Linked DNA regions of Medicago truncatula. The main gene of each other region encodes a partner of the protein of the gene in region 2 in a complex. Links are inferred from orthologs where the notes say so. Each region holds a gene or a part of one and is shown on either strand. Other genes may lie near its edges.

Evidence for each region.
Region 1: NAD(P)H-quinone oxidoreductase subunit M, chloroplastic (region 2) and photosynthetic NDH subunit of lumenal location 3, chloroplastic share a complex: the UniProt entries of both Arabidopsis thaliana proteins name them as parts of the chloroplast NDH complex. The link is inferred for Medicago truncatula from reciprocal best matches to the Arabidopsis thaliana genes NdhM and PnsL3.
Region 3: NAD(P)H-quinone oxidoreductase subunit M, chloroplastic (region 2) and NAD(P)H-quinone oxidoreductase subunit O, chloroplastic share a complex: the UniProt entries of both Arabidopsis thaliana proteins name them as parts of the chloroplast NDH complex. The link is inferred for Medicago truncatula from reciprocal best matches to the Arabidopsis thaliana genes NdhM and NdhO.

What each region holds. Positions count from the first base shown.
Region 1 is NC_053043.1:40,755,459-40,758,773, forward strand, and holds photosynthetic NDH subunit of lumenal location 3, chloroplastic, read right to left. Parts: upstream 2,250-3,315; 5' UTR 2,151-2,249; coding exon 1,862-2,150; intron 1,268-1,861; coding exon 981-1,267; intron 723-980; coding exon 606-722; 3' UTR 502-605; downstream 1-501. UniProt on the Arabidopsis thaliana protein: NDH shuttles electrons from NAD(P)H:plastoquinone, via FMN and iron-sulfur (Fe-S) centers, to quinones in the photosynthetic chain and possibly in a chloroplast respiratory chain.
Region 2 is NC_053044.1:43,827,507-43,830,977, reverse strand, and holds NAD(P)H-quinone oxidoreductase subunit M, chloroplastic, read right to left. Parts: upstream 2,111-3,471; 5' UTR 2,001-2,110; coding exon 1,542-2,000; intron 941-1,541; coding exon 755-940; 3' UTR 607-754; downstream 1-606. Other genes in the region: probable receptor-like serine/threonine-protein kinase At5g57670, read right to left, coding at 2,987-3,229. UniProt on the Arabidopsis thaliana protein: NDH shuttles electrons from NAD(P)H:plastoquinone, via FMN and iron-sulfur (Fe-S) centers, to quinones in the photosynthetic chain and possibly in a chloroplast respiratory chain.
Region 3 is NC_053044.1:47,465,999-47,469,075, forward strand, and holds NAD(P)H-quinone oxidoreductase subunit O, chloroplastic, read right to left. Parts: upstream 2,116-3,077; 5' UTR 2,040-2,115; coding exon 1,790-2,039; intron 1,686-1,789; coding exon 1,630-1,685; intron 1,537-1,629; coding exon 1,471-1,536; intron 1,381-1,470; coding exon 1,339-1,380; intron 1,190-1,338; coding exon 1,130-1,189; intron 1,003-1,129; coding exon 973-1,002; 3' UTR 624-972; downstream 1-623. UniProt on the Arabidopsis thaliana protein: NDH shuttles electrons from NAD(P)H:plastoquinone, via FMN and iron-sulfur (Fe-S) centers, to quinones in the photosynthetic chain and possibly in a chloroplast respiratory chain.

The DNA.
Region 1 (3,315 bases), on a different chromosome or scaffold from region 2:
AAGTTAAATATTAATACAATATTTAACTTGTCAATTAATTAAGTCGTACCTTGTGGTAGAGAGTCAATTCCTGAACCATATTAAAAAACTTGTTGTATAATCCAAGTAAAATTTATTAGACTTCCTAACTCCTCCAAACTCCAAAATTTGTACATGTGGCAATGTGAGCATAGTATTTTATTTTATTTTTAATAAAAAAAAGAGCATAATATGTTTTTATTGTTTCGATTAAACCTATGATTTTGAGGGAAATGGACTGCAGTAATCAATAATTCAGATCGAAAGATAAGTAAAGTCACACTAATAATTGCTTCGGTTATGACCGGAAATAGGATTCTCCTCACAATTTGTTTTTAATTGAAGTTGATTAATGATTATTTAAACTAACAGAATTTTTATTATAGATAGAATTGGCAACATTGTGATTGAAACCAAAAGAATTTTTAAAAAAAGAAGAAAGAACACTATTATACATTTGAAAATTTTGCTGAAATTATAGCATTTATCTATCTACAAGGTAAAAACGTCCTTATCTTGAATCAACACAATCAAAAACACAAAATTGTTTTGACAAGAGTAAAAAATACAGCTTAATTAAAATCATGTCAAATTGTTTTATACATTATAGTCATCCTGTCCATGACATCTTTAAGCATAACTTCAGTTTCTTTATAGCATGCTTGTGTTTCAAGTAGATTTTTGTTCCTTGAAGCTTCTTCAAGCTGTCATTGCATAAAAAATTCAATTCATTAACCCAACATCTATTCACATAATAGTAAATTGCGGTCAACAACTGCAATTACAGCACAAATGTCGTTGGACCACAATTGCGGCCACAACACAAACATGGCCGCAATTGTGGTCGCATCAGCCACATTTGTCTGCAATATTTTGGATTACAGTGGCATCGACCACTTTTTCCTGCAATATCAAGCACTAAAATGCGACTCTATGTAACCGCAATATAAAAAGGAGCATACCTTTTCAAAATTATCAAACAATTTGTTTGCCACATCAGTTAATTGTTGCTTATCTTCAACTGGGACAGCAGAGATAACCTTGTCAAAATCAAAGTACATGAATGTTGACTTGAGTCTTAGGTACCTCCTAACATAGTTGAGTGTGTCTTGTGCAATCAAATCCGCCATTGCAAGAAGATCAAATGCATATTTCTTGATCCTTAAAACACTTCCTTTTGCTCCAATATTTGCCATGTAGAGTTTCTTTTTAATAAAAGAACGCGTCCCAGTTTTCTCATTTGCAATATCTAACCATATAATCATCATTCACATCGTTAGAACAAGAACCTTGATTCAAAAGTAAACAGATACGAAAAACGCAAACAAAGAAAACACAACATTTTATCTCAGGGCTCGGCCAGTTGTGTCTACGTTCTCTGACTACATTGATATTCTATATATTATTCAAGCTTAGGATTACTTTTACAAATTTACTTTAAATGCTACGGTCCAATTTACATGATTACTCCTAAGCCACTTAGTATGGTCTAGTCAACTCAAGCGACTTGTGCACTTATCAGTAAGGCGACATTTAGTACAGTGAACTTAAAAGATTAAACCATCGTGATGAAGTTAACTATAACCATCGATTTAATATATCTATTGGCATTGTACTTCACTAATAGGTCAATAGTTATTTTTTAACTTCACCATGATAGTACAATTAATATTTTTAAGTTCACCATGCTAACTTTCAATCATAACTATAAAAGAAAATAGTAAAAGAAAGAACAAAAAACCAATCATAATTGTCCAATGTCAATTGAAACATAACATCAAAACAAACATAAGAGCAATGAAATGCATGTATACAAGCAAGAACAATAAGAAATTAATCTTACTATTAGTGACAGTTGGTTCTGGAATAGGTCCATCAATCCAAAATCCATTATCCTTAGCCAGTGAAATCTTCTCACTGAATTGTCCTGTAAGAACTAAAGAAACAAGGCTTATTGCAGCTGCTCTTCTTGTAGTGTTAACTGATTCACATTCTGATATTTTCTTTGTTTTGCTTCCAAGAAATCCAACTACTACTTGTCCTGTCTTAAAGGTTCTTTGTGCATTTGGAACAAGGCATGTAATTGGAGTTAAAGTTTTGGAGACTCCATGCAAATTTGTTAGAGGAGCCATAACTCAAATGAGTACAAGTGTTTGAGAAATTAAGATAGATAATTCATTAAAGTTTTTGGAAATAAAAAATTTGTGACATATCCATTTGGGAAGTGCTAGTGCTATGGTGTCCACTAAGTGGCACTAGAAAGGATATCATTATTAAGGGTGGTTTTGTAATTTTAGTTTTGATGTGTTTTTTTTTTTTTTTTTTTTTTTGGGGTCAAGGATGTATGTGGACTTAATTTATATAGTGGGCTTAGAGTATCTCTTTTGGGTGGGTTCTTATTAGCACGAAAATTGTTTTATAGGCCTCCTGAATTGCTTAAAATTCAGTGAAAACGCATCTGGGAAAATAGTTTCTGGTTCTATAAACAAAATAAACCCTATCGAAAGATACGTTTTGATAGGTTGAGCGATTAATGAGGCCTATAAAGAAATTACCATCTATCACAAGTGACAAATGAAACTCCCATTTCATGACAAAAAAATAAATAAACAAAATCCTTTGGTTTTTCTTAAGCGAAATTCGGCTTGCAAAAGCATGCACAATGACAGCCATCATTCCAATGTGTTGGTTACCATCACTGAGAGCAAGGTTTTAAATAATGGTCGTGTTCGAGGTTGCGGTTGCGTTAAGGATTTTGCAATTTCGGGTTTTTACGGATGTTGTTTTATAAATTGAAGTTGTCGCAATGTGAATTAATCAAAATATTGAACAGATATTATTAAGTTTATTTATAATATCATATACTGTATAATAACTTCATTTTGAGTGTTTCTTCATAAGTTCATAACAGTAATTCTTTCATAATCTTGTAATGAATTTGTTCCTCTAAGAATTTAATCACTAATGACAATTGAAATGGAGTTCCACTAATAAAAACCTTGAATAGAGAATCCCATAAAGGCTATTCTATCTTAAAAAACTTCCATTCCCTATATATATATATATTTTTTTTTTTTTTTCTTTCTTTCTTTCAAATATCCATAACAAATAAATTCATCGGAGTGACTAAATATAAGATTTAATTTGTATGCATTGTAAATTTTGTTTATATATGGATTGAATCAAATCACGTCGTGTATGTACTTTTGTTGATATTTTAATGTAAAACTTTTTTATACATTAATTGAATCAAATTACGTCGTGTATGTTCCTTTGTTGATATTTTAGGAACCAACA
Region 2 (3,471 bases):
TCATGACCCAATAACAATAACAAAGACGATAGTTACTAAAGGATCAAACTCCTTGTATCGAAAGTCTTTCTGACAATAATCGTTCGATGGTCTATTTCATTGATGTTGTGGCAATGGCAATGCAAATGGAATGAAAAAGCTTCCACTTGATAGGAAGATTGTTGTGTAACAAGCGAGTCAGAAACTCCATATTAAATGGATAACTGAATATTGAAAAATATATAAGTTAGAGGACTAATATACATAATACCTTAAGATTTTAAATTAAGATTGGTGTCCAACTTGCTCTTGATCCAATGTGATGTTCCACTAGGGCTCTCCTCTTGACATTTAATAGATGCGCTTTTTGAGATGGATATCAAGTTTGTGGTCGATGACTTTAAGCATTCTCAACAACATATCACCGAGTTTGATTCTTTGATTAATAGTGGAGACCTCTTTACATTGTTTAAACTATTAGGTCAAGTCCACTAAGAGACAAGTTAGCATGAATGCTTATTAGCTAGCTAAGAGGACTATTTTTAATCTTTGTTCATAACTTTTATTATTGATGTTCTTACTTATTTTGAGCATTTGCATTGGTTTTACTCAACCCCAAAAAAAATCTGATATTGGACAAGAGATTTTTATTCTATCTTTGATGATTTACAAATTAAAGAACTAGTAATTGTAATAACATATCTGACTGATTCATCATACACAAAAAACATCAATGATTTGCTCACTTTTCTTGGTGTGTTTCACAAATTATTTCTCAAGTACTTGCATCTTCAGGTTGGATATCATTGTTGTTGAACATGATCCGTGGCTTCCCCATGCTGAAATTCAGAACCCTTGCATTCATATTATACTTGATTACTCCATCATATAACAACTTTCTTATATAATGCTCTATGTCTGAACCAATCAAGCGAAGTGTGTATTCATTCAATGGAGCACCCTGTTTTCAATTATCAAAAAGGTTAATATAATTCTAACACTTAATTGGCTCAAAACTAGCACATACTAACTAAAATCTAATTATATTTTTCCTTCTCCTAGGTTTTTGGATTAACAACTAGCACTGTTACAAAATTTAATAAACCAGATACAGAAAAAATAAAATAGTTCTCCTGTTAATATTTCTAAAACTTAGCAACGGAATTATAAACAAATTTTGTATTTTGTCTTTAATTATGGCCGCCAAGTGTAGAACTTTTTTTTTTATCTTAACCATCCAGAGTTTGCCTGAAAGGTAAATAAAGTGGTCTGACTAAGAATTGTTCTCGTCAGGATTTGAACTCGAATACTTCCGAACAATTCACTTTTAACTAGAGTTCATCAACCACTTGAGCTCTCAATCTTAAATTTAAGCATAGACTATTATCTATCCATGTATTGATAATTTATTTTTGCATCAGTTTTCATGTTTTTTCTACATATTTTGCTAAGCAGAAGCCTACATGCTAGTCTTGAATTATAGTATATGTGAATTCAGTATATATGAAACTATTCTAAGACAAAAACTATTGTATATATTTGACTATGTTTAAGGAAACTACCTCATAGTGATCCACAAGCTCCTGAAAGTAAGAATAAACCAAGTTGCAAGTATCAGGATTCCACACAAACTCATCAGTAGGATCAAGAATAAGAGTAAGTTTATCCATCTGAGTTTGATCAAAAGCACTAGTTTCTGGATCAATATAAGCTGCATAGATCCTCACATGTCGCGTGGCACAACTCAACCACTGTCCTCCGTATTCCCTGGTCATGCCTTGATCTTTTACAATCACCTGAGGTTCAACTGGCCTTGGTTTTGTTCCTTTTGGATTAATTTGTTGATTTTGTGGTATTTCTTTCTCTTCTCCTACTTTCACACCATCTGTTTCCTTAACATCAGATTGTTGTTGAGCTGATATGAAAAATGGAGTTCTGTTTCTTACTTCTTTTCTTCTTCCTCCTGTCCAACCTAGTATGGATAATTTGGTAGAAACCATGTAGGAACAACTTGTGGCCATGTTTGATTTAGTGGTGTTTTTTGCCTTTAATGGCCAACAAGTACTTACAAGTGGGACTTATTAGTGTGCATATTGCTTAGCTTCACTCCTTCTGCTATGGATAAGATTTGTTACATAATAACTGGAAGGAAATGTTTGTGGTCACAGAAGAAATACAGGAAATAAAGAGCAATTTCCAATTTTACCCATGCATATGGTTTATTATGAGTTTTAAAATATACACTGTATATATATCCTTAAATAATCCCACCATTGCATTATTACAATTTTTTTATTTTCTTTCTTTTTTACTTTATTTTGGAAACTACACATTATTTTCTTACAGTTTTGGATTTTTTACCAATTGGCCATTTCTCAACCATTTTGGTGCCCAGCATTGTATAAGTGTACCTGATACGGACATATCTCCAGAGAGAAACTAAATATGCATGAAGAGGTTGCAAGACAAATGATATTTAAGTGCATGTTTGAATGATAGTGAATTTGATGAAATTATGGTAGTACTGTCATTTTATTGAAGCCTCAAAGTATTCTTTTTGTTAAAATCACGGTGACACACACCCTAACTCCGTTAAATTCACAGTAAATCAAAACATGCATTAAGTCAAATTACATTACATATGGAAGAATCCAAGCGACAAAATTGTTGTCGTATTATTAGGATTAAGAGCAATGATCCTAATACTCTAAAATACAACTTCTCATCCTATACAAAACTCAATGGAGCAAAACTAGACAGCATTTGAAGTATAATGAAAAAAGGGGTACTAGCCCAACAAATTGAGGAGGCATAGTTTCCTAATTATTAAGGTAAGGAGGAGGGCACATACAAACAACCTCTCATCCTAAACCCCCCATTTAAGAAAAACCATGAATATGCCAAAGCTATATTAAGATGCAAAGGAAAACAGTATCTACAAGATATTAAAATAAAAAGTATAGAAGAATAAAAAAAATTGTAGCAAGCAATATATGCTGTAATTTGCTCAGTCAAAACTTGATGCTCGGCTCCACCTGCCTCTCAAGTAGTCCTCTAATGAAACACTTTGCTCAACACTGTACATGGAGAGTGAGTCATCATCCACATCAAGCAGTGCAAGATTAAGATGTGACTGTATATTACTTGGTGGACATACTTCATCATCGAGCATTTCATGCGCTTCCAAAGCATTGACTTCTAGTCTTGCCCACTTGATTGCATCAATATCGCCTTGAAGTAGCTTTGAAACCTGTGGTCCAATAGAATACATGAGAATTGCAACGGACAAAGGACTAATGAAGGGAATAAGAATACTTTTGATGGTGCTCGAAGGACTCAATTCCCTGCAGTCAGGGAATCGTAAATTCACACAAGCATGTAAATCACGGCCATTGAAAATAATCAAACAGTTGACAGTTAAAACAAAATTATATGGACCTTCTAAATTTTTTTAAGGGCTGAGATCACTTCTGCAGTCACTTCTGACTGCAG
Region 3 (3,077 bases), about 3.6 Mb from region 2:
AAAATTTATTAGATCATGGCATGGTTGATAACTTGATATCTGCTTTGGAAAGTGTTCTAGAATTAGTGAAGCTCACTTTTCGATTTCTTCCAATTCAAAGTCGTTTGATCAATCACATTAGTAAAAAGAAAATTCACTATTCTTCAACATCATTAACTAGGCACATTTGACAATTCAGCTTATGGAACAATAAAACAGGTTGTTGGATGTGTATGGAAGCATCCTGATGCATCGACAGTGCCTTAGCTGTGATGTCGCCGATTTGCACAGCACAGTAAAATGTTGGTAATTTGTTCCAATTATAGTTGATATTTTTTCTTTTAATAAAAGATGCTTAATCACAGAGGATCTAGATTGAGAGAGAGTTCATATATATGATGTTCTATGATGGCAATTGAAATCTTTTTTCTTTTTTTTTTTTCCATCCAAAAGTATCACATATAAATGCAAGTTTGAGGCCAATGACTGGAGAGCAAAAGTTATAAGCTTTTGTGGCATTTTTTTCTGCCTTCAATCTTGGTTAAATATTTGATACCTCAAGTTCTACAATTATGCAATTTTAGTGAAGAGATTCATTCTACTCCCTAACATGGAAAATAAGTTGCATTGTTGAATAAACAATATATAAAAAAACATTTTGTTTTAGTGCTTTATTTGACCTACAGGTGCAAATGAAGTGTATTTGCAGTTGATTTTCACATCTCGTTATTTTTCTGATGATTGCCCTTGATGTGCATCATATCTTTAACTATGTCATTTATTAAAAACTAAAATATAGAAGCATAAATACAATGATAGTCATGGCCGAAAACATCATCTGGGTAGCACAACTAAATTTTCCAAATAATTGACAGTAGTCATTCGAATTGATCACGCAGCTCAACTAAAATGGGGTATGGTGGGCGTCTCTGATGGTATTTTGAATCAATCTTCTTGAATCTCGCATCTTACAATACTAGAAGAAAAGGAGTGTTATAGCCTCTCATAATTGAGCTTCTCTGACTGCAACAAAAAAGTAAGAGTTAGGACTTGGGTGCTTTCAAAGCAACTAAAATGAAAATAGGTCGCGTATATGTAGATAAAGTTAAACAATTTACATCAGATTTCATTGGAACAAGTTAAGCATTACCTTGATAAGCATGTATGTAGGAAGCCAAGCTGGAGCAGTGGGGACTCCTACCCATGCAACCTGAGAATTGAGCAATGGTACAGTTTTTGTGTTAGAATACTAAAACTTAAACTTCAAATATCATGCTGTTGGTATGAAAAATAATTGGCACGCTGTCAGCTGCCTTTGGTTCACACCTAAAACACACACACTATTGACAAGTTACTTACAAGTGCATGCTCTCCTGTTTCAAATATACGCATATCCAAGACCTACAAATACAGTTTGACATTTCTAGTTAGATAAACACTAATCATATAAACTATTTTGTTTTCATAATCTTTTGGTGTTTGTTTGTTTACCTCACCACGGTCTTCATAAATGTAGTCTAATCCTTTGTAATAGGGTGGGTGCCCAACAGAAAGATACTGAAAAATTAACCTTAGTACATGTTATTTAAGTCCTCCTCCTCACAGTTGAAATAACTATAATTGAAACTAAATCAATGATAGTCTTCTTACATTAATGCTATTGAGATATTTCTCCTTGTCCACCCTCACAATCTGACCTTTCTTCACTGTCCAACAATTAACAAAAATGAATAAATAATCACACAGACAGCAGCAGCATTCAGCATACATATAAAATCCAAATAAATAGTTATTTGGTTGCTTGACTCACTGGAATAAACAGGTTTCTTAGGAAGAGTCTTAGGAGCAGTAGTAGAGGAGGATGAGGAAGCATCAGAACTCTTAGGCTGTGACTGTGAGCTGCCACCTGGTTCGCCGGATTGAACTGCACAAATCAAAGGGAAAGAAGAACGGACATGTTTCCTTGTCAAAGTTTTTGAGAAATGGGAAAGAGAAGGGAAGGAGGTGTAGCAGCAGAGAGACACACAGAAAGCCATTAAGAGAGACACAATGCCATACATACAACTAGAGATAAGAAGATGACTCTTTTGTTGGGCACGTCACTATAGTAGTGTGAATAAGAACAAATAATGTCACGCCATAAAAAAGAGGGATTCAAGTGTACCAAAAGTTTTGATCTTTAGAGGAATTTCACATCAGCTTCTAAAGTTTAAAATAACTTAATTTCCAAAATTGGTGCTAGAAATTTTAACGTTGGACATCTTATTTTATTTGGTAAATAATAGACAAATTTATCTTCCAAACAATTGTTAACTTAACAATGAAAATTTACTTGTAACCAAAAAAAACAATGAAAATTTACTCAACCGATGAAAAGTTGATTTGTGGATGTAGGTTCAAATCTCAATGACCTTTTTCACGAATGACTTATAAGTGTTAATTGAATCTTGAGATCTGTCTTGACTCTAGTGAGTCCTTAGAGCTCAACTCTCCTAAATTTGTTTGAAAATTGCTTTTCTGACATTGAAAATTTCACAATGACATAAGTAAAATACTTAAATGCCCCCAGCGGTAGTTAACTACCGTTCAGGAACCGGCAGCAGTTAACTACCGCTGAAAAATTGCTTTTCTGTTCTCTCTATTCTGTTATCTTCCCTACCATCTCTGTTCTTCATTTTCCAGCTTTCATATTCAATGTGTTTGGATATACTTGCTTTTATGTTCTTCATTTTCAAATTCTATCAACTAATAATACAAAAATCGTAACATGATTATTTGCAGATTGTGATCAGATCTCACATATCAATTACGGAGAACCATCATACCCAAAAGATCTAATCTGCTACTAATAAATCCCCATTTTTTCATATTGCAAAAAAATAAAATAAAGTTATTGAATTTATGAAGATCCATCAAAAGGGTGGCAAAAAAATAAAACTTCTCATAAACCCATTTCATAAAAAACAAGAGTGAGAAATTTAGCTCACAGATGAAGCCAATTCAATTCAACGGTATGAAAATTAAGCTAAAAAAACAACAAAAGGAAAAACAAAAACAAAATCCTTGGTGGATTAATAAGGAAAATGAAGAACAGAGAT